4 linked regions of the Rhinolophus ferrumequinum genome follow. The protein of the gene in region 1 interacts with the protein of each later gene in a biochemical or structural test. Links are inferred from orthologs where the notes say so. Each region holds a gene or a part of one and is shown in the gene's direction. Other genes may lie near its edges. The genes, in order: ATF2, FOS, MAPK13 and MAPK11.

The links.
Region 2: the proteins of ATF2 (region 1) and FOS form a complex in vitro, tested with the Homo sapiens proteins (3 studies listed by BioGRID and IntAct, with this or other methods). The link is inferred for Rhinolophus ferrumequinum from reciprocal best matches to the Homo sapiens genes ATF2 and FOS.
Region 3: of the proteins of ATF2 (region 1) and MAPK13, one has a biochemical effect on the other in vitro, tested with the Homo sapiens proteins (2 studies listed by BioGRID and IntAct). The link is inferred for Rhinolophus ferrumequinum from reciprocal best matches to the Homo sapiens genes ATF2 and MAPK13.
Region 4: of the proteins of ATF2 (region 1) and MAPK11, one has a biochemical effect on the other in vitro, tested with the Homo sapiens proteins (4 studies listed by BioGRID and IntAct). The link is inferred for Rhinolophus ferrumequinum from reciprocal best matches to the Homo sapiens genes ATF2 and MAPK11.

What each region holds. Positions count from the first base shown.
Region 1 is NC_046291.1:50,154,251-50,162,082, forward strand, and holds the start of ATF2 (cyclic AMP-dependent transcription factor ATF-2), read left to right. Parts: upstream 1-4,824; 5' UTR 4,825-4,978; intron 4,979-7,832. UniProt on the Homo sapiens protein: Transcriptional activator which regulates the transcription of various genes, including those involved in anti-apoptosis, cell growth, and DNA damage response.
Region 2 is NC_046289.1:23,387,387-23,395,201, reverse strand, and holds the start of FOS (protein c-Fos), read left to right. Parts: upstream 1-4,809; 5' UTR 4,810-4,977; coding exon 4,978-5,118; intron 5,119-5,846; coding exon 5,847-6,098; intron 6,099-6,531; coding exon 6,532-6,639; intron 6,640-6,763; coding exon 6,764-7,405; 3' UTR 7,406-7,815. UniProt on the Homo sapiens protein: Nuclear phosphoprotein which forms a tight but non-covalently linked complex with the JUN/AP-1 transcription factor. In the heterodimer, FOS and JUN/AP-1 basic regions each seems to interact with symmetrical DNA half sites.
Region 3 is NC_046286.1:6,070,730-6,078,638, forward strand, and holds the start of MAPK13 (mitogen-activated protein kinase 13), read left to right. Parts: upstream 1-4,904; 5' UTR 4,905-5,000; coding exon 5,001-5,119; intron 5,120-5,932; coding exon 5,933-6,062; intron 6,063-7,272; coding exon 7,273-7,331; intron 7,332-7,909. UniProt on the Homo sapiens protein: Serine/threonine kinase which acts as an essential component of the MAP kinase signal transduction pathway.
Region 4 is NC_046293.1:431,018-438,558, forward strand, and holds the start of MAPK11 (mitogen-activated protein kinase 11), read left to right. Parts: upstream 1-4,536; 5' UTR 4,537-4,891; coding exon 4,892-5,007; intron 5,008-7,356; coding exon 7,357-7,486; intron 7,487-7,541. UniProt on the Homo sapiens protein: Serine/threonine kinase which acts as an essential component of the MAP kinase signal transduction pathway.

The sequences.
Region 1 (7,832 bases):
GAGAGTCCCAAGGTTTGCCTCCTCAAATAGCTACATAGGTTGGCTGAGTCTTTCAGTCCCTGGACAGCTCAGTATTGTTCCCTCAAGACTTGTATCTAAAGGAGAGCTCAAAGCATTTATCCATCTCTCGAGGTATCTAAAATGTCTGTAGCTCTCAAGTCCTCTAAAGTCATATAAAAGAAGTAAGCTTACAATACTGCATGTTTTCATACCCTTGCTGTATTTTCTGAATAGCACTTGCCATTTTTTAAATTATCTCACTGTCTATACATGTATTGTGTCTCCTCTCTCCAATGAGATTCTCCTTTAGGGACTTTGTCTTGCTTATAGTTGTAGCCTCAGAGCCAGAAACAGTGCCTGACATTTTCATGCTCAATAAATCTCAGCTTTATGAGTAATGAACTATAGAGATAGAGCATTCGGTTGACAGTTAACCCAAGAAGCCTGTGTCCAAGGTAAGAAGGTAACTGGAAAGAGCAAGGTATTAGTCTAAAGGCCCAGAAGGGTCCACGTGCCGAGATCCTCCTTGGTTTCTGGCATTAGGAATTCATGGCTTTTGTATTATGTGGGCCTCAGGTTGACAAACAGATTAGCCGTGAAGGGTAGATACTGGAATGCCAGACAAAATTATTTACCCTAGGAGAGATTCTATCTACTTTTATTGGAAAGCAGAATATAATGAAAAGCCTTCTTTCTAGTGAGTGGGATGAAAGATTGGTTGAAGGTATTGGTATGAAAGATGAAAATAAGGCCCTTAAATTGCATTCTCTGTCCTTGGGCTGGTCTCACTGAAGCTGGTATAAACTAATTGGTATGATTTGAAGATAAACACAGCCCTCTCATTTATTTCCCCACAATGCCACACACAATAAATACATTATTTTGAGAAACCAAAGATTGGAGGTGGGAGGTGGACATGGTCCTCCCTGCAGTGAAATGTTCTGAATCGACATTTCCATAGTGAGGATAGGCCCTGGCAGGTAACTATAACAGGTCATTGCGGCAACGTGCACCCTGGGCTGTCAGAGATGGGGAAAGAAGACCTGCCATGAGATAGAAGCTACCCTAAAAATCAACTAAAATGTCTAAGGCCATGCTGTCCTCCTCTCTCTGGTATCAGGTAGGTGGATAATCATGCTCTGCTTCTTCCACGCCTTTTGTAACACACACACACACACACACACACATCACACACCACACACCCTAGTGAGTTCACTGGCAAAATCCCAGCTAATGCACTGTCCTGGGCAGCGTCTTGTGGATACCTGGGAAAATGCAGAGGCTCTTTCCCTGAGTCCAAGGCAGATATAAGGGATATCCTGGAGTATGTTATGTTTTGTTTAGCTATAGACAAACAGAAGCTATGTTTTATAAATTAAATCTTCCCTCCTTATCTATCTAATTTGAGCAAGGTTTTAGTAGAATTCTTATAAGCAATACTATAAAATGGCTTAACAACCACATAATACTTCTAAACGAGGTGGAAATACACATATGTAGCACTTGGAAAGTTTTGAGAGCATTTAGAGGCCACTATTTTATTTGTGTGGTATTTAGTAATGGGTATTTTGCAATAGAAACAAGTTTTCTTCTCATAACCTGTTCTTGTAATAAAGGATGCCAGTTTTATCCTGAGTTCTTAAAGGAGGTTTACCAGATCCTTACTAATTTTCCTAGGAGTAAGCTGGGTAGACGCATGCATGGAATAATAAGGCAGGCAAAAAATGGGTCCAGAAGAAGCTTCCTGCATTCGTAAAGAAAAGATTGGAAAGACCATTAGGGCTTTTGGGGAATACTGAGGAATGAGGAAGTGTGAAAAAAACTGAAATATAAAGAAAGTATTTTATAAGGATATGGATAAATATGAGACTTACACATTCACAGGACCAGAACCAAAAATAATTATATTCATTTTGTCTACACCAATGTTCTCCACTTATAGAAAAGCTATAGTAAATGAACTGCTGTGGAGCTGGTAAAGTGAGAGCCTTTGCTAACCGCCAGGCTGTCAACATGCATACAGAACAGATTTGCATCCTTCCCACCCGTTTTCTCCCTGATCTCCTTTAATTTTATCTCACTTTATACCTTCTCTTTAGAAAATTAGCTTAAAATGGCATTCTCACAGCAAATAAGAGTACTATTTGTATTACTAAATGATTCTTCTCTTGTCTAAGAGGACTCCTGAAAGACTTTCTTTAAAATAACATGTACCTCTAGTACAGGGGTATCCAACCTTTTTTAAACGTTTTTCACCCAGGGCCATATGCGGTAAAATACACAAACAGCCGGGCCACTCACTCGAGGTGAAGTACGTGTTGCCTCACCTGGTTTATTTAAGTAAACTAAACATATTTTTGGAATTTGCTGCGGGACAATAAAAAATGGATCGTGGGCTGCAGTTGGCCTGCGGGCCACAGTTTGGACACCCCTGCTCTAGTGCATTATGTAGATAATTACTTAGACTGGAGAAATAGGGACAAAGAAAAATTTAAAACCGAACCTGTCAACTGAAAACAAATCAAAATTGGAGAAAAGAATTTCAAATTTTTGATATGTGAATGAAAAATAATAGTTTAAAAAACTACTCTAATCGATGCAAACTTCTTTTAAAATGCCATAGCATAAAAAAAAAATGCCGTAGCATTTATAGTTTTTTTCTTCTCACATTAGACAATTTGGGAGATGGAGAGAAGTAGCAACACATTAGGTAATAATGTATTCTAGACGTAAGAAGTTGTGATTTGTTAGTTGCACATTTTGTCCATTAGATGTTCATCATCAGTATTACACTACACACTAACTCTACTACAATGTTATTGCTACTATATAGGGAGGGTACTTTCATTTAATTTGAGAAGTAAACAGTGTTAATAACCTGGCTTCTTTCTGGTCTCTTTTAATGAAATTAGTTTTAAAAGTGAGTTGGCTCTTGTACATGTATACAGGCCAGAAACCTGTTAAAGACCCAGTGCCGTTACAATTTCACTTTTATGCCAAATACCATTACGGAACTGCAGGTTCATTAACTCTCAAATACTATCTCCCACAATCTTCCAACAATTTCGGTTTCACTTTGGTTTAGAGATGTTTGTGAGTGCATTTTATGTTAATACTTAAAATTTACTCATAATTTTTTTGAAGACTAGAAATCAGCACCTACCAATGGAAAACAAGAAAGTGAAAATAACTTGCTTTTTTAAAAAGTAGTTAATGGAAATTTCACAGGGGCCCTGGTCATATTTTTCAATTTGTGCCAGTATGCATTTATTGAACAATCAATATCCCTAAAGTTAACATTTAAATATTTAAGTTGTATAGAGAATCATAGAACATTAAGAAATATTTTCAGCATTGTACTTCTGTGTTTTTAGGAGTTTATCTGTGACAGTGATGGCAGAGAAGTAAATATGGTCTCTTTTGTCTCTCACGTTAAATTAATCAAGTGATCTGCCCCTCTCCTCTTCTTAAACAGCTACTTTCAAAGCTTGACAGACATTTCTTTGGCATTGCAGCCACCTATTAAGCAGTGGGATAGTATTGTGGAAAGAGTGCCATCTCTATGCCATATTCTAATTTGGTGTCCTTTGGGTCTCTCTAAAATAGAGTTGTTGATGTTTTAAAGATCTGAAATTATCTCTACTAAATTGATAAATTTTATCTATATCTGCTAAGTAAAGGAAATTAATAAAATGGGATACACCGTAATATGGGAGACTTTTCTTATAAACAAGTTCTTGCACTGTTTTAAATTAGTGGTACAGTAAAAGGCATTCTATTTCCTTTTGGTAAATTACTTCGAACATAATTATATGCTAACATCATACATACACTACACTACTACCACATTTCCCCGAAAATAAGACCTAGCCGGACAATCAGCTCTAAATGCGTCTTTTGGAGCAAAAATTAATATAAAACCCGGTCTTATTTTACTATGTGACCCAGTCTTATCTAACATAAGACCCTGTCCTATCTAACATAAGACCCCGGTCTTATATTAATTTTTGCTCCAAAAGACGCATTAGAGCTGAATGTCCAGCTAGGTCTTATTTTCAGGGAAAGGCTGTAGGTGCTTAGGAGCTGAAAGAATCACTTCTAGAGTTATAGCTTAGGGAAATTCGAACGCCATTCAGAGTAAAGGTTTTTTTCTTTTCTTTCTAGAACTGACATACTTGCTTTCCCGCTTCAAGCTTGTAGCTGGTTTGCGGGTTTTTTCCCGGCAAACTCCGCCCCTCCCAAACCTCAGCGTAATCCTGACTCCCCCTCTCAGGCTTCAGGGTACCGGAAGACGGGTTTAGGCGCGCGCCTCCCTATGCTTTACCTTCTTCCCACCCAGGGCCAGGAAGTGACAGCAACGGAAATACCGGGCTCCCGGGGCTGGGCTCGGGGGACTCAGCCCGCGCTCTCTCTGCCACTCACAGCCTTTCCAGAGTTCACCTTGCCTCTCTGCACACCGTCAAACTCTTCCCGTGACCTCACCCTCCACCTGCCCCAATGTCCCACACCCAGCCGGCTGCCAATCACAGGCTTCCGCAGGGCCGGGCTACCGAGACACCTCCATTGGCTCTGTGGTCTCGCCCCCTCCAGAACTGCTGCCCGCCCTCCGGGCGCTTTGTCCAATCATCAGCTACTGAGTGTCTTTGGTTCCGCCTCCTCCATCCCCGCCTTCCTGAAGTCCCGCCTCCTTCCCCTCAGGTCTGACGGCATCACCTGACCCCGAGGCGCTCGGTCTGAAAGAAGAGAAGAAGGGGCGTGAGCGTGGAGGGGAGGGGCACGAGAAGAAAGGGGGGGAATGCCGGGAGTGGGGCGGGGAGAAGGCTTGTCAATCCGATCTCGCGAGAGAGGACGGAAGCCTGTGGGAGCCCGTGGCCTTTAAAGTGCCGTTCAGCCCTTTCCTCCAGGGGTAGTTTGTAAACACGGTTGAGCTCAGGCCTCGCTGGCGACCGAAAGAAGCATGAATGAGTGACCTGGAAAGGTGAGTAATGATGGGGAGAGGGCCACAGGACTAGACACTGTAGGGATACGGAGAAAGAAGGCACTAACATGGCGACGTTGCTCACCATAGTCTCCACCCCCCGCTCCCCATCACCTCGGGCGCTCCTGCCTCGGTTCCTAGCCTCCCGGCCACTGTGGCTGTGCTGCCGCCTCGGCCGCCGCGCGGCGTCTGCTGCCCGAGCCCGACCGGCCGGGCCGGACCGTTAGGTAACCGGTGTTCGTTGTTCCGGCCCCTCCCCGCTCGCACGCTTTCCTAACGAAGAGGAAAAAGGAATAACGGCTCTGAGACCCCTCCCCCCGGTTTATCTTCTCTGGTCAGTTTAGAGGGCCCTGGGCCACACGTCGGATGCGCCCAGGGCTCGGGGAGACCGCTTCTACCCTGGAAGAGGGCTGGCTCTGGTCTCCCCACCCAGGACTCAGTGGTTGGGGACTGTGTTTGTGATGGTGGCGGGCAGGTGGGTAGGGAGGCGCGGCTGAAAATAGGGTCAGGGTCTCTCTGGCTGCGGTGAAACGATAGAACAAATGGTATGGAGAACCTGGGACTTGGAAGTCTCGGCCTTTCCTGTCCCTGCTGCCCCCGCCACCCCCCACTTTTTCCCGCTGGGGCGGGGCTGAGTGTGGGTGCAGATTGATTCTTGTGTTTTCCCCCATATTTTACCTCCTTGGGTGCACTGCAGAGCTGCTGGTGGGAAATAACCTGTGCTTTTTATCAATGCCCGAAGGGCCAGAGAGAGAGAGTTCTGTGTTCGCTCATTGAACCGACGCTGGAAGGCGGGTGAGGGTGAAAGACCTGGGACTACTTTTGTGCCCTTAGGTAGTATAAAACTGTCTTTGCTTAATGGGGAGTCTTAAAACTGGTGAGGCCAAGAACAAAACTACAGTGAATACGATGGCATAAAAGTGATAACTCCTGATGGACCTTAGGCCTATTGAGTAATCCCTAAATTATAATGTGAAAGCTACAATTTCTTAGGAATTTTAAATTATGGAACCGGTAACAATGCATAAATTTAATGTATGTATTTGAAATCAGAACAAAACTGTTCTCTGAGCACACTTTTTGTCCTATGTGAAGAAATTCATAACCACTGGCATTGTCAGTAATAGCCTTTCTAGGCATAATCTTTAAATAACCATGTATTCTTAGTCCATTGTAACAAAGCTATGAAGGTGAGTAGCTTGTTAAAAAGTCAACCCTACAGGATTAAGTGCCCTAATGACACATATAGTAGCAGTTATGTCTCCTAATTCAATTTGCTACACTGACTTGAGGAATCCACTGTACACTTTTCAAAATTGCAGGAATATTGATATAAAGTATGTATTATAAAAAAAGATGTCTTTCTGAAGATCAAGTAACAGAATAAAGGAAGTTCATAGATCTTTAAGGCCATCAATCATTAACAATTAACAATCCTAGTCTTTGTAATTTATAGGAATCTTGCAAATTTACAGTGGTGTGTATGCTGCTTTCCTGAAACATGTTTAATCTTTGAGAAGATGCTACTGCCATTACGTTTTAAATTATTTGAAATATAATGTGGTAATTTAGAATTTGGTTGTTTGTGTTTGAATTGTCAGTAAGAAAGGAGCTTTCAGGGACTTTTTTGTGTGTTTTTAAGGTACATAATGCCTTCTGTAGATCTGATTGCATTTCCTGAAAGTTCTTTTATAAATACCTTATTAGAATATTTCATATTTGGGGCACTATGTTCTGTTCTATTAAATATGTATTCCAGAAATCCCTGTATTTACTTTTTTTAGTTGGAGTTTTTGTTTCATATTTTTCAACTAAGGTAAAAGTAGAAATGGTTATTATGTCAGCTCTTTTAACAAATAACATGCAGGGATGATTGTTTTTGATATTCACTATTTTGAAGCTATGAATATCAAAAAATTATATGCTATGCATCGAATGTCTGCTACTTGTAACTAGTATTACGTCTCAAGAAATCATTACATTTTTTCTACCTAAATTTTTGTAATTTGGAAAAGTTGGGTTTTAATGATTTATATGTTCTCTGCTGGTATTAAAATTGTTAGATCATGTTAGATCAACTCTGGATCTTATTATCTGTATCAGCTTAGGCAAATAATCAAACCTCGTTTAAAACCCAATAACAACAATTGGAAATTCAGTTCATCCTTATAGAAATCAATGCATGTAGTACTTGTTATCTATTCTCTGTAATTAAAATGTACTTTAAAAAAAGAAGCTATAAATTTGCATTGCTATACTCAGTAGTTTAACTTAGTATTTCTGTGTTTATCCTATACTCACACCTATTCCTTGAGGCTAACTAATTTACCTAAGATGCTACATGTTCTCTTAATGTAGTTTTTATTGGTGAGGTAATAGTGATAGTATTTACCTATTTCTAGGGAAAAACACCACAAAACATGTTATTTCTTTTGTTCTCTTTCTTGAGCTAACGGTTAAAAAGTTAGTATAAGGTATAGTTTCATGGGCATTTAAGAAAGTTTGTGGATCTTTAAGGCCAACAATAATTGGAATTATTTTACATATATTATTATAAATATGTCATATGTTATAATTAATAATTATAAATACATATACAGAGGGTTCCAAAAATTATACACATTTTAAGAAAGAAAAATACTGTATTAAAATTGTAATACTCAATATATACCGATAACAAAAGATGAATACAAGTCACATTTGACTTCCGCAGTTACAAGAGGTGCTCAAAGTGGTTACCGTCAGTGTAATTTTAGTACAGTTTTTTCCTTTCTGTATACATTTTTTTGGCATCCTCTGTATATTATATATACTATTTTCATTTATTCTGTTAACCTTGAAACTGGTATATTCG
Region 2 (7,815 bases), on another chromosome or scaffold:
AAATGGTGTAAACTATGCTTGAGATGTCTTAACACCCTGGAGTGCGTCATGAGCCAGCCCATTTTAGCCATTCCCTGCCCTGCCCATGCTGACTGTGAGATTTTTCTCATTGGATGGGAGGCCTGCAGTTGAAGTTTCTAGTCAGGGTGTGTTGGTGTCCTATAGGTTTAGTGACGTAGATGGGGTTCCTTTGGAATTAGAGCAGCTAAGTCCACCAGAGCTGCAGAAGTTCATCCAAGTTGCTGACAGCCTGGAGAAGACTTGCTTGTCTGCTGACGGGGAGCTCTTGTTTTTGCAGCAAGGTTTGGCATGACGGACAGAATGAGAGTTTCCTATGGTGAAGCTTGGGCTGAAATATGTCCTTCTTAAGCACCATAGCTGTTCTCCAGTTTCATCAGCTTCAGATGGAGCATGTCCCAGGGACCACACTTCTTTGTTTAAATGCTGGCATTTAGCAGAAGGATGGGGATCCCATTGAATCATCATCTCCTGTCAAAAAGCCAAAAGTTGTTCAGAATGAAAACAGTTTTTCTCAGAGACTAAATCTCTTACTAATTAGTGGCGGTGGTGGTGATGGTGGTGCTACGCCTATGCCTCCAATCTTTTAAAATAGGGGCAGTCTTTTTGGTTTCTGTCTGAGCCATAGAGTGAGTAACCTTGACCCATAAGACCCTTAATTGGGCTCACATGTGTGTGAGTCCTGCAGGAATTGTGGAATGCTTCTCCTCTTTGGGTCCAGACATTAAGAATGAATAAATTAGAGGGTGGTGGTAACACGGTCATTGTCACTGCAGACAATGTGGCATTTATGTGTGGGGCTCAATAACAAAGGCAAGTTTGATGTTCCATCACGAACCACTGGGGTGTTCTTTATACACAGAGGCTGCACCAGCTGAAAATAGCTCTAACATCTTGTTATTTTCTCTTTCCCAAATTTTGCCTATTCATACCCAAGAATAAAAGACTCAGCCTGTTCAGCCTTTCCAAAGATTTAACGAACATTATCGATTTGACTTCTAAGTACCCAAAAAGGACAATAATATATATTTCCTTTGCTTGGATAGGGCATTCATCCCTTCAATAGATATTTATTGAATACCTACTATGCACCAGGCACTGTGCTAGGTGCTAATTGAATAACAGTATATGAAAAAGACAAAGGCCAAAAGTATGTATATGCTAAACAAGTCTAAGAAGCGACTTCCCCTAGTCCCTGAAAGAGTTGATTTTGCTACACGCATTTTCCTGACTTCTGGTCCCGTGCTCCGACCACAATCCTTCACCACTAGACCACACTTCCCCAAATAAATAACTACTTCTGCATGCTGGGGACGTGTTGTGCGTGGCAGCATTTACGTAGGTGGCTCAGACAGCAGCCTTTCACTTAATGTTGCAATAGCACCAGGCTAAACACTGACTTCTAGAGTTATTGAACAAATGCTTGATGTGGGTCAGGTCTCTTTACTCAAATGCCAGAGAAGTGCAAAATTGGAAAAGTTTCTATCTGATAAGGAACAACTGCTGAGGAGAAATAAATTTGTTTTCAATTTGGGTTAAAATCAGATGTGGGATTCTACCCTCCTTTTCACTTCTGGATCCCCAAATAGGAGGAACTTAGCACGTAGATAATCACAAACAACGTAAGTTTGGGTTTGAGATGCTCAGGCTTGTCCAGAACGTGGAACCTCTGCCCCGCTGGAAGGCAAAGCGGTACTCAGAGGCACGCACACATCTGTCTCAAAGTCACCCTGACCTTCGCAAATGGCAAAGATCATTTCAATGATGATTCTGATTTCTCTTTATTTTAAGGCTATGTCATGTGAACTCCATATTAAAAATGTGATTTTGCAGTCCTGAAATGGATACTATGAACAGATTGAGATGTGAGAGTGTGTTAGAATGATCACAGGTTCAGATGTTAGTGGGGCAGGAAAGTGAGTCTGAGATTGTATCATCTGATAGAACTGCTTTGAGTTGAGCACTTGCTTCTCCAGATGATGCTCTGACATTTCAATCTTTATCATGTTGTTTCCCAGAGGACAGTGGTTCCAAGCCCCATAATTGTATTGCAGTCACTTCCTCTGATACCTGTCTTCATACCCTCTTCATGGCACTCTGTTCTTACCTCTGTCAAACCACTTAACTGCTGCCCTGCAATTCTCTATTGCTTTGTCAGTCTTCTCCATGAGACTGGAATCTCTATGAGGGTAGGAACAAGTCCACCTTGTTTATTTTAGTAAGCATCAGCCCCCAGCACAATGCCCTACCACACGAGGCTCTCAAGTGTTCTGTTCAATAAATAAAAGAATAAATGAATTCATGGATGGAGTCATGGTCCTTTTCAGAGGATGGATTAAGTCTCCAACTCTGGTCATAATGGTGCCAGGAAGGAAAGAGTTAAGCTATCTGGAGGAGACAGGTTCATCCAAAGCCCATTTGCCCTTTTTATTGGCATAGGCAGGATAAGTTAGGTATGAGATAAATCCTGCATATAAAATCTTGATACAACCTTTAGATGTTGGCCAAAGCTGATTCAAGACTCTGAAGGGGAAGTAAATGAAATTATTCTAGGTTTTCTCTTAAGAGGCTGGAGACACAGTTATGAATGGAATGCAAGACTAGACCCAGGAATTCACAGCCTGACCTACTTTGTCCGAAGCTAATAATGAGAGAGATGGATTTGCCTTCATAGACTTTTTTTTAAATTAAATAATCAAAGATAATGAAGTAGCCTGACCGATGATAGAATTAGGAAAATTGCTTTAGGATTCAGAGTAGCTCTGAGTAGTCTGTATTTATGTATTATGTGTTTTTCCTTCCTCTCCCCTTTTTTAAGAGACGGGGGGGGAAAAAAAGCGCCTAAATTCTCACCGACATAAACCAGTGACATACAATGATGAAATTTTGTTTTCATCTCTGCCTGTGACAGGGAATGCAAAAATAGCAAGTGGCCCAGTTCCACGAATCCCCGCCTCCCTGCCCTCCCTGCTCCCGCGGGGTTCGCATCTCTAAGAATGGAGGTTAGCGCACAGTCGCGCGCGAGCCGCATTCAGCCCGCGGACCCCGTGGATGATGTCAGGCGACAGGAGTGGCCGCAGCCGGGCCGGGCCAGGGAGGCCGAGGCCCTGGGGGAGCGAGGAGGGAGGGCGGCCTCGCCAGGCGGACGGCGCGCCCGGCCGCGCGGCGTCGCCTGGAGACGGCCCTGGCGGCGCTGTGTTGCTGTAAACAGCCGCTTCCCTGTTACTATCTATAGCTGGATCGCCTGGCTCCCGGGTGCGGCGGCGGGAGGCAGGTCGCGGTCGCGCTCCCAGTGCGTCCCGAAGGATCCGCCCAGTGTCCTAATCATTCCTCGACCCTCTCCAGGTGTTCACCGTGACCCCCAGACCCGAAGAGTCGGGGAGAAGGGACACAAGGGCTCTGCGGGGACCTGCGGCTTCGTGCCCCGCAGGTGGCCGGCGTGCTGGGACCGAGCCGGGGTAGTGTGACCCCGGCTGTCCTTTGCAGCGGGCAGGAGTTTGGGGGGTTTCTGGGGGCGCAGCGCCCTCCCGAGCACCTTGTCGCTCCAGAGCCTCGTTTTTCAGGCCACAGAGCTGCGCCTGAGGTCCCAGCAGCAGAGGTCTCCAGCCTGGGCGCTACTGGGCACCGTCCTTCCAGCGCCCCCGGCCCTCCCCCTTCAAGTCCCGGCTGGAAAATCACCCGTTGCGGGCTCCCAGCAAGCCCAGCTTCCTGGGGGACCGGATCGCCCCCACTTCCCCAGCTTGGGCTTGCACTCCCCCAAGAGCTCGCTCCAGTTGAAACCAGGAACTGACGACCTTATCCACATAACATCCCCGACCCCAACCCCACGCCCCGGGCCCCAGCTCAGAATCAGGCAATTGAACCCTTCAGACATCCTTGCTTGGAGGATCTGCACAATGTTTATTGGCTAGTGCTTCAGGGGTTTGACAGTAACACTGATGTCTCCATATATGACCGAGAAAGAAAATGCGCCCTTTTCCTTAAAAACAAAAAATAAAATTAAATGAAAATACCTAGCATAATAGATAAAAATCGGTTATCCTCTTATTTCGGATACCCCGACTTTCAGCTTCCAAACGCACGCAGTAACAGTCCTAGTATTGCTGGAGCCCGTGGGCTTGAGGCGAGGGGATGAAGGTCTGCTTCCACAGTTTGCACAGAACTTGCTAGAATTGGGAATAGAGGAGGAGTCCCCATTCCTTCGCGGGCCGAGGCTTAAGCCCTCGGGGCTGTTTACCTGTTTCTCCAATACCTGAGCCTCAGAACTGTTCCTTGGTTTCTGCATACTGGTAAAAAGGCGCCGCCCCCCTCCCCTCACCGCGGGAACAAGGGTCCGCATTGAAGCAGGTGCTAACGTCCGCTCGCATTCTGAGCCTTTCCCGCCTCCCCTCCCCCGGTCGCGGCCCCCGCCTCCCCCCACGCTGCACCCTCGGAGTTGGCTGCAGCCGGAGCGCAGTTCCCGTCAATCCCTTCCCCCTTTTCACAGGATGTCCATATTAGGACATCTGCGTCAGCAGGTTTCCACGGCCGGTCCCTGCGGTCGTGCGGGGAGCCATCCCCGCAGTCCCTCACCCTAGGGGGTCCACGAAACCCCTAAGACTCAATGCTAAACGTTCATAAGATAAAAAAACACAACAAGACGGGAACTGGGGGCTGCGAGGGCGGCGGAGGCAGCAAGGAGGCCGCAGATGTGTCGAGACTTGCGCGCCACCCCTCCAGCGCAGCAATGGTTTGCGCCGTGACGTCATTGGGCTCATTCACAAAAAGCTGTTATAAAAGCGGTGGCTGCGGCTCCTCGTACTCCAACCGCATCTGCAGCGAGCAGCCGAGGAGTGCAGATAGAGCCGGCGGCGGCGGCGCAGCGAGCGAGCAGTGACCGCGCTCCTACCCAGTTCTGCCCCACGGCTCCTACCTGCTTGCCTCCCTCAGCCCCTCGCCCGGCTGTGACTAACCGCGACCATGATGTTCTCCAGCTTCAACGCCGACTACGACGCGGCCTCTTCCCGCTGCAGCAGCGCCTCCCCAGCTGGGGACAGTCTCTCCTACTACCACTCACCCGCCGACTCCTTCTCCAGCATGGGCTCTCCTGTCAATGCGCAGGTAAGGCTGGCTTCACCGAGCCCAGGGCTCGGGGTCACTGGGGTGGAGGCATCGGGCGGGAAGCTCAGGAAGACGAGTCGGGTACCCCTTTTGGCGGGGAGGGAGCAGCCCTAACTCGCGAGTCCCGGACTTGTGGGGCGCTCACACACGCTTGTCAGTAACAATTGGTTCTCCTTTCCCGCGGCAGGCTCATTCTGAGCTGCCCCCGGCCCGCGCTCTCTGTCTGGTCTCTGACACTAGCTGGGGCAAACGTGTCCCAAGCAAAGACATGCTAACTGGAACCTGGCTTCTCTCGGGAGGCGGCAAAAGCGGCAATCCCCCCTCCCGTTGCAGTCTGGTGCAGGGGCGGGGGAGGAGGGCGAAGCAGGCGGGTGTGTAAGGCAGTTTCATTGATAAAAAGCGAGTTCATTCAGGAGACTCCGGAGCGGCGCCTGCGTCAGCGCAGACGTCAGGGATATTTATAACAAACCCCCTTTCAAGCGAGTGATGCTGAAGGGATAACGGGAACGCAGCAGCGGGATGGAGGAGAAAGGCTCTGCGCTGCCTAATCTTGGAGGAAAAGGGCAGATCTTTTATCCAGGACGAGGGACATTTAAAAAGACAGGAGCAGCCCCTGGCAGGACCGTGTCTACTCCCTCTCTCCTTCCTGCATGCGGCCCTGGGAACTCGGCCACCTGTGTCCCGAGGCTGCTCACTCACATCAGCTTCCCCCTTCTGTTTCGTTCTAGGACTTCTGCACGGATCTGGCCGCCTCCAGTGCCAACTTCATCCCAACTGTGACTGCCATCTCGACTAGCCCGGACCTGCAGTGGCTGGTGCAGCCCACCCTGGTTTCCTCCGTGGCCCCATCCCAGACCAGAGCCCCCCACCCCTATGGAGTTCCCACCCCCTCAGCTGGGGCTTACTCCAGGGCTGGAGTTGTGAAGACCGTGACTGGAGGCAGAGCTCAGAGCATTGGCAGGAGGGGCAAGGTGGAACAGGTGAGGAGTTCATCCGCACCTTCTCTCTACAGGGAGCCGGGTCAGCATTGGTGGAGATGGGGAGCACAGTGGATAGGTTGAAGGCACTGATGGAACTGACTCCACATTCCCAACCGGGAACTCTGGCTCCAAGCCATTTCTATGCCGAGTCAGATTCTGATAGTCCCACCCCAAGGAATATCCTAATAGTTTCTTCCCTAAGAGGTTCTAGCTCATGCTTTTACACCAGGCTCTTCTTCATTCTCTTGCTGAGAATCTTATTTGAAATGCAAGTCACACCCAGGCTGCAACTAACTGCAGGTTACATAGAAATAAATGGCCTCGCAGAAGAGGTGCCAGGAAGCTAGGAAGCTGCAGGAGTCAGTTCGCTGGGGTGGATGAATGGAGCTGATGGCAGACACTGTTATTGAATGTTGGACTTTTTTTCTTCTAGTTGTCCCCAGAAGAAGAAGAGAAAAGGCGAATCCGTAGGGAAAGGAATAAGATGGCTGCAGCCAAATGCCGGAACCGGAGAAGGGAGCTGACTGACACACTGCAAGCGGTAGGTAGATTTCTTGGGTCACTTCTTTTTAAAACTTAAGGGGAAAGTTGGAGATTGGGCATAAGGGAGCAATGTCCTTGAGCAATACTGTGTCTTATGCTTTGCTTTATCCCTCTGTATACAGGAGACAGACCAACTAGAAGATGAGAAATCTGCTTTGCAGACTGAGATTGCCAACCTGCTGAAGGAAAAGGAAAAACTCGAGTTCATCCTGGCAGCTCACCGACCTGCCTGCAAGATCCCTGATGACCTGGGCTTCCCAGAAGAGATGTCTGTGGCTTCCCTTGATCTGAGTGGGGGCCTGCCGGAGGCTGCCACCCCCGAGTCTGAGGAGGCCTTCGCCCTGCCCCTCCTCAATGACCCTGAGCCCAAGTCCTCAGTGGAGCCTGTCAAGAACATCAGCAGCATGGAGCTGAAAGCCGAGCCCTTTGATGACTTCCTGTTCCCAGCCTCGTCCAGGCCCAACGGCTCTGAGACCGCCCGCTCCGTGCCAGACATGGACCTGTCTGGTTCCTTCTATGCAGCAGACTGGGAGCCCCTGCATGGTGGCTCCCTGGGGATGGGGCCCATGGTCACAGAGCTGGAGCCCCTGTGCACCCCCGTGGTCACCTGTACTCCCAGCTGCACTACTTACACATCTTCCTTTGTCTTCACCTACCCTGAGGCTGACTCCTTCCCCAGTTGTGCGGCTGCCCACCGCAAGGGCAGCAGCAGCAACGAGCCCTCCTCTGACTCACTCAGCTCACCCACGCTGCTGGCCCTGTGAGCAGGCAGAGAGGGGAGGCAGCAGGCACGTACTAGTGCCACTGCCGGAGTTGGTGCATTACAGAGAGGAGAAACACGTCTTCCCTCGAGGATTCCTGTAGACCTAGGGAGGACCTTATCTGTGCGTGAAACACACCAGGCTGTGGGCCTCAAGGACTTGAAAGCATCCACGTGTGGACTCAAGTCTTTACCTCTTCCGGAGATGTAGCAAAACGCATGGAGTGTGTATTGTTCCCAGTGATACATCTGAGAGCTGGTAGTTAGTAGCATGTTGAGCCAGGCCTGGGTCTGTGTCTCTTTTCTCTTTCTCTTTAGTCTTCTCATAGCATTAACTAATCTATTGGGTTCATTATTGGAATTAACCCGGTGCTGGATATTCTCAAATTGTATCTAGTGCAGCTGATTTTAACA
Region 3 (7,909 bases), on another chromosome or scaffold:
AAAGCCCCAAAACTCCCAGGACAAATTGTGCCCAGCCAGAGACCACATGACCCAGACATTCCACAGTGGACCCGATTTCAAGCATATTCCCCCTACTATTGCTTTCTCAGTGCCACCATTTGGGTCTCCAAACACATCCCCTCACTGCCTCTTGTACTCACAAGACACACAGCAATCTTTGATTCATTCATCACTTACCGTGGGCCAGTGTGTACCGGGGGCTCAGCAGTGACCAAGATACTGTCCTCGGCCTCCCCGAGTCATTTTCCAGTGGTGGAAAGGGACCGTCCCGCAGGCTGGCTGAAAGGACGTGAGTCTTGGGGTGGAGTGCAGGGGAGTGAGGACCCGGCGGTATATGGTGTGAAGAGGGGAAGTCTATCTGCTAGGGCCCGACAAGGCCGGCTGAGAGGTGCCCCTCTAGTGCAGCTGTCCCTAAGCGCTGTCCTCCACCAGGCAGGTGCTAAAGCTGAGGGCAGGGAGAGAGGGGCTGGGAGGCTGCGAGAAAGACTCCTACAGGCGCGGGGCACCTATGAGGTGGAGGAGCCTGTTATTTTGTTCTGCTCAGGCCCTGAGTCCCCTCGAAGGAGAAGAGGTACCGGGGAAAGGTGGCCCAGGAAGCCAGAAGGCAGTAAGCTGCTCCCAGGCGTTCTGAGTCCCCTGAGGGACGTACCAGAGACTTCTGCGGGTGAGGGGGAAGGATGGCACAGGAAGAAGGAGGCTGGAGGGAAGGGTCATATGTGGGAACAGAGTGGAAAAGTCTGGTCCTCCCCCAGAGATCTGCACAGCTCACTACTTGGTCCATTCAGGTGTTGCTCAAAAGTTTCCTCCTCAGACAGACCTTCCCTGAAACACACCGGGGCTGGGGAGGCAAAGCTCGATAACAGTGGGGAAGGGGCACCTCGTGACCACCTACTAAGTGCCAGGCATGAATCAGACACTTCTCACGTCATTTCTTTTAGTCCTCCTGATGGCCCCATGAAGTGGGTAGAATTATCCACTCCTGTTTTACAGGTGAGGAAACTGAGGCTTAGAGAGGCTAAGTAACTCATCTGAGGCTAGCTAACTGACTTAACAAGTTACAGAGCAGCCCCCACGTGCAAGGTCTTCCCCTCTGCCTCTCCTTACCTCATTGAGACTTTGATTATTTCGTGGAGTTTTGAAAGGTGTGAAGGAGGGTGGGAATCTCCGAGTTGGGGCTGGAGCTCTCGGGCTCTTTCATTCCCACAAGGACCCCAGGCATGTCATGATTCCTGTTTGTAGGGGTCATATGGCCACTCATGGTGAGGATCTGAATTGCTGGCCCAACTGCTTGGGACAGAGAGGGCTGTAGTGTTTGACACGCTGCCATATTCTTGAGGTAAGATGGAAACGGGGTGGCCAAGATGGGAGACATGAGCAGCCAGCCTCATAATCATGTGGGGGTCTTGTTTCAGTTTCTAAGAAGCCAGTCATCAATCCCCAAAGCCATGCCCCTGCCCTCCAGAGGCTCACAGCCTCCCTCGGAAGACAACACTACGATAACAGCCATTTCTCAGACATTTGCCGGGCGCCAGGCGGTTTCATTGGTTGTTAAATGTGCAGACTCTGGAGCAGAACACCACATTTGAAGACCACGTCCACAATCTTGTTCGTCATGTGTGACGTTACTGAACACCTCTGGGCCTCGGTTTCTCCATCTGTGCCAGGGAAATAATAGTATCCTAACAGCAAAGCAGCCTTGACATCTAGGAGCTGCCCGTTCCGTGTGGCTTGGAGCTGGCCTGGCACAGCTTGGTCGGGGTGTGCTCTTGTTGCACACAGACAGGCCATCTGTGACCACAATGGATCAAGACAAAAACAAGACCACTCCGGAATCATGTCTGAATGCAGACGAAACATGAATATTGTTCAAACCACGAAAATGACCAAACATCCCCAGTCTAGCTAATCTGAGTGAAGGCTGCTCACAGCTCTGTCTCCATTCTAGTTGGCCCTCCTTCTAGGTAAGATTTATTAAGATACCCATCATAGAATCACTTCCTCTTCCTAACAGCTCCTAATCAGAACAAAGTCCTTCTTCCTTAAACCCTCCACCATCGCCTAACACAAGGCCAAAACTTGTAAGTCCTTTTTAACACCTTCTTACTGAGATGCCTTATGATTCCCATGGCGCATGTGTGCTCTTGCTGCAATGAGCCATAAACCCAGCTCGTCCACCCACAGATGTGTTTCTGGTGATGCTTGGCGGGAGGCGTTGCCAGTCCCTACCTCACTGAGTTGCTGTTATACTGCATCCCCAGGACTCTTTCAATATACTTGTCATGCTTTAATATCATTTCCACTTTATAAGGAGGACACTGAAGCTCAGAGAGGGGAAGGAACTTGTCCCAGGTCACACAGCTGGTAGTGCAGAACCGGGATGGAAATCAGGTCTCCTTCCAGAGTTAGTTTCCTACCCGCTACCTCTGCGTTAATAGGGCAGAAACCAACACTACAACATAGGCCAGTGTCTGGGGGAACAGAGCAGAGGGACCTTGGAGCTCAAGGAGAAAAGAGCCCCAGGGGCTCTGGGAGGGGAGCTCCCAGGGCATCCTAAGGGACTCTCCCCTCTTCCTCTCCCATTTGTGACTTCCTTAGCTAGATCCTTCTCTCCAAGGCTGCCTTGCTACTGAGTAAACACAGGCCCAGCAGAGGCCCGAGGTGGGGGTCAGTGTCAGCAGAGCCTGAGGCCTGAGTCACTTCCTGACCGTTGCCTAAGAGGCACCAAAGCCAAAGTCTGACTGGTCAGCTCGTGCCGTTGCAGGATTGCACCCACTTGGGCAATGAGTGTTTCCCTGGTACTCCTCACCTTTTGGGGTTCACCTCTGCCACACTTAGGTGTTCTAGACACACAACAGAGTCTCAAGGCCCTGGAGAATTGGATCCTCACCCAGAAGGAAACCTAAGTCTCCTGGACAATTCTGTCTTGCCAGTGCCCAGTTCTGAACTCTGGCTTCCAGGACGCTACCCCAACTTCAGAAATAGGGTGCCGTCCACCAGTGTCACCAGCCCCAAAGGTTGGAAACTTCCACAGCCCTCCCAGGCACCTAGCCCCTGCCCTTTTCCTCCAACAGGGTCTCAGGGCCAGAGTTGGGGGTGGGGCAGGGAAGAGGGTGAGCAGTATGTCAGATACCCTGGGCAGGATGTACTGAGAGAGACATAGTTTGAGAAGTAGACATGTCCTCATGATGTAGGTGAGGCAGATGATTTCAAATGCAGGCCATTTCCTTTAGGGAGCAATGCCTCACAACCCAGAGACACTGCATAGCCTCAGGGCTGAGATCATGGACTCTAGAGCCAGGTTGTACTAGCTTCTTCAACCCAGCTCTGCCCCTTACTAGCTGTGTGACCTTCAGCAAGTTACTTAACCTCTCTGTACTTCAGGTTCCTCATCTCTAAAATGAGGATAATAGTACTGACTCATCGGCATCTCACCAGGATTAAGGGAGTTGTATAAGTAAAACACATGACTGGCACATGGCAAGCACTAGTGTTCATTAACTAAATATTTTTTCACTTCTAAAGTGCTGACTCTTCCATTTATTCTCCATACAGTCTTTGATATCCTACAGTGTGCCAGCTATGAATAAGACTGATTCCCTGCCTGCAATGCCTGTTGGGCATTTCTGTGGGATCCTTACCCCCCACCCCACCCCCAAATGGTCTTCTCAGCTGTGTCTCATGCTGAAGGACTGGGTGGGAGGGGCTATGGCACAGGGTTTGAGGCCTGTTGACACCCTAGTGAGGCCCCCCAGCTTGATGTAGGCCATGAATGAGTTCCTTTTCTTCTTCAAGACATCTTCTCTCTGTTTGACAAGGTGAAGCAAGTGGTCCCTACTCCTTCTACAACCCTCTGCCCAGGCCAGCTAGGGGTTGGACAAGTCAGGCTGGACATTGGACCTCTGTGGCCATTCTCTGATCCCCACCCTGTTCCTAGGAGGCCTCTGTGTTTTCACTTGAGCACAGAATTTTCTTCAGGCTACACAAGCCACCAGACACAGGTGGTAGAAGGCCCTGGCTTGTCACTGCCTCTGGGACCCTGGGAAGCTAGCAAAAACTGTGTTCAAAACTGAAAATTTGAACCTGGACTGGAGAATTACTGTTACTAATTCTGGGTGTAAAAATGATCTTGTGGTTATGTTTTTAAAATAACCTTTATCTTCCAGAGATAGGAAAAATATTTATGGATGAAATATGACGCCTGGTTTTGCTTCAAAATAATGGGGGAAGAGGGATGTAGATGGAATAAAAGTGACTAAGAATTGATATAATCGTTGAAGATGAGAGATTGGGGTCACGGAGGTTCACTAGAACCCCACCATCAGAGTGTGGTCCACAGGCCCTCTGAGCCTGGGACCCGGTTAGAAATGCAGAACTTTGGCTCCACCTCGGCCGACTGACTCAGAATCTCTATTTTACTAAAATAAAATTCCCAGGGGATTCGTGTGCACAGTCAAGTGTGGGAAGCATTGGGCATTTTGTCTACTTTTGTATATGTTGGAAACTTTCCATAATCAAATGTTGTGGGGTTTTGTTTTTCCGAAATTGTCTTCAATATCCTGGAGAGATCTTCCTGCAGAGTCCCGGGCTGCAGAGAGCGGAGAGGCCCTGTCTCCCCACCCGCCGCCCTTCGCGGGAGCCCCTCGGTCTATCAAGCCTCAGCCCCCACGCCAGCCCTCGGCCGGGAAGCACCCCTTCCTGCAGGGCAGCGCACCTGCAGCCACTTTAGCCCGGCAGCGATCCTGGCGGAAACCCGAGGCTCGGGGCACAGACTGTCTAGGCAGGCCCGGGCGGGGCCGCGCGGCGCACCTGGGCGAGCCGGCAGGTGGGACGCGCTGCGGGCCGGCCCCGCCCTCGCGCGGGGGAGGAGCCACCGGCACGGGGCGGGCGCGGACCCGACAGCGGGCGGGCCCGGGTGCTGGGAGCCCGGCGGACCTGGAACGCAGCCGCCGCGCTGGGACAACCGAGATTGGGTTCGCGGAATGAGCCTCCCCCGGAAAAAGGGCTTCTACAAGCAGGACGTCAACAGGACCGCCTGGGAGCTGCCCAAGACCTACGTGTCCCCCACGCACGTCGGCAGTGGGGCCTATGGCACCGTATGGTGAGACCCCCGGGCCCGCGAGCCCACCGGGGTGGGGAGGGGAGCCGGGCGTCCGGGCGGACAGACGGCGGGCGCCCAGGCCCCAGGACACAGGTGGAGCCTCCCGACAGGCGGGGGCCGGGCCAATGCACCTCCTCCGCTCTCCCGGACCCGCTGTGGGTGTCCCCTCCCCTGTTGGGTGCCCGGGGCCGCGCGCTCACCACCTTGACCGAGGACCCCACGGGCTTGGAAGACCCTCCCAGGGGCTTTTCTTCGGCCCAACCTGTGGAGCTAGGAGGAGATAGCAGATTGGGCTGCAAAGTACAGTATGAGTGAGAAGCCTCAGGCTGTGGTAGAGGCTGGCCTGAGGCCACCCCAGGCGCCATCTCACTTTCCTCACTGGCTTTGTGGGGTCCCTGTGGGTTGAATTAGGACGGGTCTGGTTCTCCAGGACTTGAACCTTACAGGGACCCTGAAGCTCTTCCGGAAGAATACCCATTGTTACAGACGGGTGCACTGAGACCCAGAGAGGGAGAAGTGTCTTCCCCGTTGCAGAGTGAGCGTCCCTGGGGCTCTGGATTCTGGTGTCTTGAACTTGTGTCTGACGCAGGAGCGGTGCACCTCTGTGCCGGCCTGCTCTCTCCCGCAGCCCCACTCCCAGTGCTTCTGGCTGCGCCCTCACATTTCAGGCAGTGGGCGCCCGTTTCTCCCTGCCTAGCCTGCTGGCCAAGGGGGATTTGGGTGAGGATGGCCTGGCAGACACCACCCAGGACCTGGAGTGGGCACTTCCCGGCCAGGAGAGTGCTGCCTGCTGACGTGCCTATGCCTCTCCAGCTCCGCCATCGACAAGCGGTCCGGGGAGAAGGTGGCCATCAAGAAGCTTAGCCGGCCCTTCCAGTCTGAGATCGTTGCCAGGCGGGCCTATCGAGAGCTGCTGCTGCTGAAACACATGCAGCATGAGAATGTAGGCTGGGTCTGGGGCTGCTGGGGAAGGCAGGGAGGAGAGGGGAAGCCCAGACAGGGTCCTGACGGGCCCCGTGTGTGCACAGGAGATGGCTCCAGAGGGTACAGAGCGCTCAGGACAGGTCCAGGAGAAGGGGAACCACCTCCCTGCTCCTCCAACTCTTGTTCCCGCCTCATTACTAAGATGGGGTGCAGGACCTGCCCTGCTTACTTCCCAGAAAGGGTGCAAAGGGTATGTTGGTAGTAGATCAGAATGAGCTTGGTGAGGTGCAAACTTCCTATCTCACTGTTAGGAGGAAATGGACACAGAGGAACTTTGTAGTTTGTTCTAGATCTAAGAGCTAGGGCCCAGAATCTAGGTTAATGTTTCCACATGTGACCCTGATAATAATAATAATAATCATAGATACTTATTGAGCCCTTTTTATGCACCAGGTACTGTTCTAAGAGCTTTGCATAAACTAACTTGTTTAATCCTCACAGTATCACAAGTACTATTACTTCCATGTACAGATAGGGAAACTGAGGCATAAAAAGACCCATAAGTTATATGGTTAGTCAGTGGCAGAGTTGGGACTTGAACCTAGGGGGCCTGGGCCCAGGCCTCAGTGCATAACTATTAGACTGTGATATCTGATAGAAACAACTAGGAAAACTAGTGACCCAGTGTTGCACCTGGCAAGCAGGTTTTGCTCTAGAATACCTAGATTGGAAAGCAAACATTTAAAATAATGTTTCAAATTTTTAATGCACATTTTAAGCCCCATTCCTCTTCAGCAACCCTCCCCATGGCCTCTTGCCTCTGGCTCTGAACCAGCCCTCTGGCAGGCAAGAATGGATGTGATGGGAGACCCAAGGTCAAAGGCATGGAGCCTGCTAGCTGGCAGGCCCATCCCCTGTTCCCTCCTTGATTCTCTTCACCACTCGTGAGTCCCTGCTTGAGTTGAGAGTGGGTTTGTGCTGTTTGCCGTGAACACCAGACTTGGAGGCAGTGAGCACACCTCCGCTTCTACCCAGCATGATTCCCCACTGAGCACTGAAAGCTCCCTTCCAATTGGGATTCCTCTCCGGCTGCTGCCCCTTTACTGCTTCCAAGAAGGCTGGGAACCTGCCTCCTGCTGGAGATGATGTCTTAGCAAAGGGTGGGTGGTCCTGTGTATGGCTGGGCGTGGAGGGGGCTGCTCAGCCCTCACTGGCAATCTTCTCCCCAGGTCATCGGGCTCCTGGACGTCTTCACCCCAGCTTCCTCCCTGCGCAGCTTCCAGGACTTGTGAGTTGGGCTGCACTGGGTTCCAGGGTATTGCAGGCCTTACGCATCACTCTGGAGCCAGCTTGGGGAGGGTCCAGATTCTCTCTTCTGGGGCGGGGGCTTCCTGCCCTGGCAATCCTTGTGCTGTTGTTGAGGTGTGATTCTCTCTGGAGAGATACTTTCAGCCAAGGGTACGGAGAAGGGCAGGCAGGAAGAGGTGGGAGGGGCTCTGTGGGGTTCTTGCCCAGCATGGAGCTGTCTGCTACATACCCTGTTTCCCCCAAAATCAGCTCTTTTGGAGCAAAAATAAATATAAGACCCAGTATTATGTTATATTATATTATATTATACCGGGTCTTATAGTAAAATAAGACCCGATCTTATATTAATTTTTGCTCCAAGAGACACATTAGAGCTGATTGGCCGGCTAGGTCTTATTTTCGGGGAGACACGGGAGGTGCTTTGTGTGTTACCCAGCTTTAACATCACCAGAACATCATGACCGATCCTCCCAGGGTTTGCACCAACTCACTTCACCATTCCCTTGGGGCCCAGGTGTGGGTCTGGACCTTGGGGCTCTTCCTAGCCTGAACCCAGGA
Region 4 (7,541 bases), on another chromosome or scaffold:
GCTTCTCCAGGTGGGGTCTGAGTGCCTGCAGCCCCAGGGCCTTATGCCCCGACTGTCTGCCCGCCCTGCCTGGGCGGGAGGAGAAAAGCGGTACGATGCCTTCCTGACCTCACCTGGCCTGCCCTGCCGGACACCGGCATTCCCGGTGGACTCGTGCTGAGGGCCCCACCTCAAAGGTCAAGCCGGACGTCAGACGTCGAGGCCCAGGCGGCCAGCGGGGACCCAGCCTACTGGGAGTCCTGGCCTCGGCCTGTCAGACAGGCTGTCCTGGGGGCCCTGCCCCGGTCTCGGGGACCAGGAGCAGCTCTACCCAGGACCATCCCCACTCTTTTTGTAAATCGTGTTAATTATAAATCAAATACAACTGTGTTTTTAACTTGGTTGGTTGGCTGGGTTCCTCCTGGGGCAGTCCGACATGCTGTCCTGCTCACAGCCTCCCTCCCAGGCCCTGTTTGGCCCTAGGATCCCACCCTCAGGTGAGCCTGTGGGCTTCACACCGCCCACCTCCCTGACTACTCTGGGCCAGGCCTGGGGGTTGTGCAGAGGCTAATGCCCACCAGCTGACTGAGTCCACACCTTCCCTGCTCTGCCGCCCCAGAGACCAGGATGGTCAAGTGTTGGCAGATGAAGCCTCGGGTATGGGAGGGGCTGGGGGCAGCTCAGGCCCAAAAGAGATCCCAGAAAGGACTGTGGTTCCAGAGAGGTACAAGGAGGCAGCCCTACCAGGCAAGGAAGTTGGGGGATTGGGCTGGCCGGACACCTTCTGGTGGCCAACACATCCCCCAACCCCCTTTGGGCTGGGCCACTAGGAGCCATGGGGCTAGGGGTGGGCATGGTATCAGCCTACCATCTGGACCTTGAGTTCTCGGGGACTGTTTCTTTCTGAGGTGAGGGTCCCCCCAGTACACATTTAGTAAGCCCTTACCTTACTGTATGCAGACCCCACCAGACACGGCTGGCTCTGGGGTAGACAGCCCGGTGTCCCCCTGTTTGAGGCAGTGGGGCCATTAGGGGGTTTTCTCCTCTGTCCCCTGAACCACCCAGGATGACTCAGGGCATCAGTAGGGCTCAAGGGCCCTGTGTGGGAGAGCAATTGGCACCTTTGCTGATGCCAGAGTCGGGGGAGCTCCCAGTCATGTCCTGCACAGGGCAGGGCCTCTGAGCTGTGCCACCTGCAGCCACCAGGCACGTGTGTGTGCAGGTGAGTGCACAGCATCTGTGCGTCCATCCCCTTAGGCTGCATGCACTGTCCTGGGCACTAGGGACACAGCAGTAAATGGGACAGACACAGCCAGCTCTGGGGGAGCCCCTGTGCCCCAAGAGTACCAGCCTACGCAGAAAGGGGATTTGGCGGCTCCAGAATGAGGAAGTGGAGGTGGTGCAGCTGCAGGTATGGCTGGATCCAGGTGCTCACATGTCTGGGTCCCAGCCATCTGAACTGCTTCCCAATTCATGTGGGTTTATCCTTGGGCAGCAGAGATGCTGGTGGCAGGCAGCCCCAGCCTGTGACTCTTCCCCTCGGGGCACATAACTGGAGACTCCCATTGGGCTAGGACTTGACCATGAGCCACTATGCATGGGGGCGCCCCGTTCAAGCCCCATGGAACGAGGGTGGGTATCTCCCACAAGGAAGGGGTACTAGGCAAACAACTGACAGCCCCTGCCCAGGGACCCCTGAAATGACACTGCTATGGGCACACTAGGCTCCCCGCTTCCCAGAGTCACAGCTAGTCAGGAAATCTGAACAAGTTACTGCTAAATCAGAGTTAGGAGGAAGTGCTGAGCCTGGCAGGGGGCATTGAGGCCTGGCTTTTAGACTGGACCTGTGTGGGCCACTTCTGCCCTCCCACCCTCCACACTCCCAACAACCAGGCAAGAAGATGAGGAAGTCAGTGAGACCCTCTTCCGCTCTGAAGCGTGGAGATAGGGGAAGGGCCGCAGGTCCATCAGGTGGGGTGCCCGCCTTGGAGGACAGGAGTGTGAATGCTCCAGGGCCGGCCTTCCGTGGGGCTGGTGAAGGGTAGATACCGGGCTTGGATGTTGGGGTGCATGGGAAGGGCAGGCCAGCCTTGAGTGGTCAGGATGCTGACAGACCTCTTGCTTTCCACTTACATTTTCTCCAAGGTAGAGGGAGTGGGGAGAGACAGTGATGGGAGGGGGCCGCCGGAATCCCTGGACTTTTACTTCCAAGTTGCAGGCACCACCCCCTGGCTTAAGAGCCCGAACCCTACCCCCCCACCCCAGCCAGAATGGCATTTTAAGAAGTTTATTGTGACCTCTGGGAGAAGTGCAGCTAGCCCAGCAAGGGGCTGAAAAGGCGGTGGCCTGGACCAGAGGAGGGATGAGTGGACGTGGAGAGAAGAGCTGGGCTCTAGATATTTAGGGGTGACAATGAGTCACAGGGTGGAGAGAACAGGCCAGGCCTGGGTAGGCGGCCCTTCTGTTCAGCCCCCTGTCCCCCAGGTGAACACACCCCATCTTACCACATTCCCAGCTGCTGTCCCAGCCCCACACCACCCGCTGCTCCAGGTCCAGTGCTCTCACCCAGAGGTGGCAACCTTGACGTGGTGGCCTGGGGGATGCTAGGAAAATATGCAGCAGACTTCCCATCACCCTGATGTCAAAAGTCGGAAATCCGGGCTGTGCTCCTCCCCCACCAGCCTGCCACAGGCCTCTGCCCAGGGCCACCCATCTTTCTGTTCCTTAAGTCCTTGAGAGTCAGGGCTCTCTTGATGCCGGGCCCAGCTCTGCTAGTGTCCCCTCTCCAGCGGGTTTCCCGACCTGCCCTACTCTGCCTGCCGTCACCCCCACCGGAAACTCTCCCTAGCCGTTCCCCTGCAGTGTTACAACCCGGACCCTCCCCAGAAGACAACGTGGTGGGGCTGCTCAGTGAGTGTCCCCACTCTGCATGATCCACTGAGCCCGGCAGGGAAGCCGCTCCTCTCTGGTCAGCTCTGACCACTCACCACCGGGATTCCGGGGGAGCGGTGGGCAAGGTCCGGCATGGGCTTCCTTGAGCAGGCGGACTCCCCCACCCCTGGGGAGAGCACGGGGTTGCCCAGCTTCCGCGCAGCGACCCGGCCGGTCGCCATGGGAATTCGCTCTAGCCCGCGGGTCCGCGCAGACAAAGGCCAGGCCTTCCCGGGGCCCCACAGCCCGGTTCCCACAGCCCGGCTCAGCTCCCGCCCAGCCCTCGGCTTTAGCTGAAGCCCCATTAACTCCGCACAAAACCTCGGCCACCGGAGAAAGGAGCCCAGGGCGGGGCCCTGGAGGAGGCCCGGAGCGGGTGGCGAGGGGAGGGATACCGCCTCCCGGGGGGGGGGGGGGGGGGAAGTGAGGGCCGGTGGCTCGGGTGGCGGGCGTGGCTGGGACTCAAACCGTTTCCTTTCTCACTTCTCGAATCCCCGGAGTCCGGATTCGCCAGCAGACATGTCTGTTTGCCCGGTTCTGCGTTGACGTATTTTATTTTCATTTGGTTGCCAATATTTAAAAATCAGGAGAGTTCCATAACTGGGGTGGCCAGTTAGCTCAGTTAGTTAGAGCGAGGTGCTGATAACACCCAGGTTGCCGGTTCGATCCCCGTATGGGCCAGTGTGAGCTGCGCCCTCCTTAAAACAACAACACTCAGGTTTTAGTTTGTTTCGAAAAAGCAGAAGGTTGCCCAACTCAGGAGCCTAATTTCCGGCTTTCCTGGGAAGGGCAGCCCAGCCACTGCCTGGGCGGGGGTCAGGAGGCGTTTATCCAAGGGGAGTCCTTTCCTCCGAGCCCTAGTCACTGGAGGGGGAAAGACAAGCAGATGCGCCGGCCCAGAGCGCTGGGCAGAGAGCGAGACTATCCTGCTGGCACAGGGGAGCACCCTATTAGCCTGTGAGAACTGAACCGTTCAAGCAAAGTGCGTTGCAGGAGTTCGCAGCCCCTGGGAACTGCAGTTGGTTGCCAACTACAGGGGCTCCCCGATACCTGGGAAAGTCAAAGTGGGCTTCCTGGAAGAGGTGACAGTTGACGGGGCTGTTTCAGAAGGAGGAAAGGTACCAGGCACCAAAGAAGACCCATTTGGGGAAAGCTTCTTATGGGGACAACACCCTGGAGGGTCCCCGGGCGCCGCCGCTGTCCCTGGTCCTGACAGGCCTCGCAGTTTCCCCTAGAGGCGCTGGGCGGCCGACGTCAGAGGAAGGTCTGCCCGGAGGCAAGCCTCACCGCCCAAGCCAGAATGGCCTCCACGGGGAGGGGCCAGGCTGGCCCAGGAACCGAGGCGCCATCTGCCCACCGCAGAGGGGCGGATTCAACCCAGTGCCTCGCTGTTATTAGGCGGTGTTTTCTATGTTGATGAGAAATGTCTCCCAGGGTTCGCCCTGGCTTCTTTGATTTTGAGTGTTCTACTTCATTTCTGAGGAAGCAGCTGGTGGCGGGGGTGCAGGGCCCGGCAGCAGGTGTGTGGGGAGGGGGAACGCGTGGACCCGAGCAGGCGAAGGGAGTAGTTGTAAGTGTCGCACCGGAGCAGGGAGGGACGGGGTGCAGGACCCGAGGTGGGGAGAAGGGAGGTGCCGGCGCTGGTGTGGGCTGGAAGGGTGCGGGAAGCCGAGCGCGGTGCGAGGCGGTGGCGGCCTGGATCAGCGGCTCCCGGGCGGGTATTTGGAGAGGTGCATGGACCCCAGGAGGTATAAGCGGGAGGGGCTGTAAGTCGGATCCTGGCCTCCCCCTCCCCCCGGCGGAGGCCCATCCTCCCCGGGACCGCCCCAGGGAGACGGGAGGAGTGCCGGTTTCCGCTCAGCAGTGCCTCGGAGGGGCAGGAAGCCGCCTTGTCTCCGGGAACCCCCTCGAAGCCCCGCCCCGCGCACCGCCCTCCGTGCGTTCGGCTCGCGCTCCGGTGCGGCGGGGGGCGCGGACGGACATGTCGGGTCCGCGCGCAGGCTTCTACCGGCAGGAGCTGAACAAGACCGTGTGGGAGGTGCCGCAGCGGCTACAGGGGCTGCGCCCGGTGGGCTCGGGCGCCTACGGTTCCGTCTGGTAGGGGCGGGGCGGGGGGGGCAGGGGAGGGACTGAGCGCGCGCCACCACCCTCTCCCCGCCCGGCGGGGGTTCCCTGAGTGGGGAGGGGCCTCGCCCTGCCTCCGCCCCAGGCCCTGCGCGGATCTGGGGAATGAATGGGGGGTGGGAGACGGGAAGGAAACTTTCCAGACGCGGCTCCGGGGGGGGAAGAGGGGTCGTCTCCCGCTCCTTCTGAGCCAGAGTGACCCCCACCAGGCCAGAATCCTGCGGCGTCACAGCCGGCGAAAGGGCGGGTCTCCTGGACCATAGACGTCCGAGCACGCATCTGGGTCGCCCCGTTTAGGCTCTGGCAGCCCAGAGATCTGGCAGATGCCCCCGCCCTAGGGCGGGTACTTTGGTTTGTAAAAGAGCCCAGCTAGGGAGAGGGCAAGACCCCTCCCCTTAGGATGGCCTCAGGCTTTCCCGTGGGTCCTGCCCCTTCCCCAGTCTTGCAAAAGAGTCTGGATGGGGCTTAGGCCTGAGCAGAGACGTCTGCCACTACCCCTACAATCCTTAGGGGTACACCCCACCCTGTTTTTGTCCCAACCAAAAGAGCTCAAGACCACAGCCCCACAGTTAGGTCCTGGGGCCCAGAGAGAGGACAGAGCCTGGAAGGGAGACGGAGGGTTCGAGCGCTGAGGTCTTTTACCCTGGAGGGTGGGGAAGCTTCAGGGGGCTTAGGGTGAGTGAGGTGGTTGCAGGCAGTCCCGGCGTCACTTGTAATGTTAAAAGTGAAGCTGATCGTGGGTGTGGATGTTGAGAGGTGTCCCCCTCAGCACTCAGTGGGGTCCTTACCCATGCCAGTAGCAGGTGACTGCTGTCCACTGCAGGGGTCATGCGGTGAGGAGGCAGGGGCCCTCGAGGGGCTGGCATTGCTCCAGGATCTGGAAGGTAAAGAATGGGATTTCCAGTGGACCCGAACCTGAGACCCAGTGTTGGACTCTGGAGGAGGGGTTTGGGTTCCCCATGGTCTCTGATCTCACGCTGTCAACGCTGTCAGGAGCCTCAGGCAGGCCATTTTAGCCACAGCCTCTGTCTTATCTCTAAGATGGCAAGGGCAAGAGGGTCAGGGACAAAGTGTGAATGGCCCCTGGGGAATCTGACCGAGCCCTCGCTGGAATTGCCTCTGGCCCAGAGTCACCTTCTGGGAATTCCTCTTGAGTGTCAAGCTCCCAAGGGAGGCCCAGGTCTCTCTCCACTGCACTTAGCTTGATGAGGCCCAGTGCCGGTGACAGCCCTCTCCTGGGCTCCCTTGTTCCTCTGATGAAGCTGTCCCCCCAGGGCCAACTCCCTGTGGTTCCACTGCACAGACACAATGAGGCCAAAGGATCTGCTGCCCCACCTGAGGGGCCCACCCCTACTTCCCACCCCAGGAGTGACTTGAACCTTCCCCAGCAGGTCACAGGCTAGGAGGAGGGGCACAGATGCTCCAGGAGCCTACCTGGCTTCTCCTCCCCCCACCACCTGGTTCTGCAGGAGCTGCTGGTGGGACTGTGTGGACTCCGCAAGGTCCTGAGGCAGGAGGTGAAGAGTCAGGGAGGCGCAGCAGTTAGAGGGAGCGGCCTGTGGAGCTAGTCGCCTTCAGCAGGGCCCTGTCCTGGGCACAGTGGGCGTCAAGGGGGGGGGTGATGCCAGTGACTGTTGTGTCTCCCCATGAAGAGGAGATGGGTGTGCAGGTGGAGGGTCTGGACCTCTGAGGACGGGTTGAGCCACGGAAGATCTGTGGATGCAAATACCACCTTCGGCTAGACATTTCCTTCTGTCGGGTTGCTCACTGTTGCAAGTAATAATGCCAGTTTTTCCTCCCTATTTTGCGTATCCAGAGGCTTTGGAGGCAGCTCTGAAACCTTCAGGGAGCCTCCAGACCCACAGCCCATGGGGGAGGGGGACTGTTTGCTGTGGGAATAGCCAGTAGCTGTTTTTCTGGTGTGTTATTTCCACCCTGGTCAGTGGACACTTTGCTCTCCCAGCCTCGCTGAGTTGGGCGTGAGAGTCGTGGGGGTGAGGGGACAAAAGATCCAGTCCTGCTCTGGGGCTCTCTGGTGGGCAGGCTGGGAAGGCCTGCGTGTACGGGTGCCGTGGAGGGGGAGTTGCCTCTTGAGGAAGGAGGCTCAGAGGCCGAGCAGGTCACATTCTCATCCCTGGGACCCTGCGGCAGCACACGGATGGCGGTACAGCCCCGAGAGATCCTCTGGAGCAAACGGGCCGAGGGAGGAAAGCGGCGGGCGAGCAGGGGTGGGTTAGCGGTGCCATCCCCGCAGAGGAGTGGCGGCGGGGGGTGTCTGTGAGCGCAAGGCCCTCGCCGGCCGCCTCACCCACGCCCTTGCAGCTCGGCCTACGACGCGCGGCTGCGCCAGAAGGTGGCGGTGAAGAAGCTGTCGCGCCCCTTCCAGTCACTGATCCACGCTCGGAGGACGTACCGGGAGCTGCGGCTGCTCAAACACCTGAAGCACGAGAATGTGAGCTGGGACTCCCCGCGGTGGCGCGCCGGCGGGCCTGGGCCGGGTCGCCCTC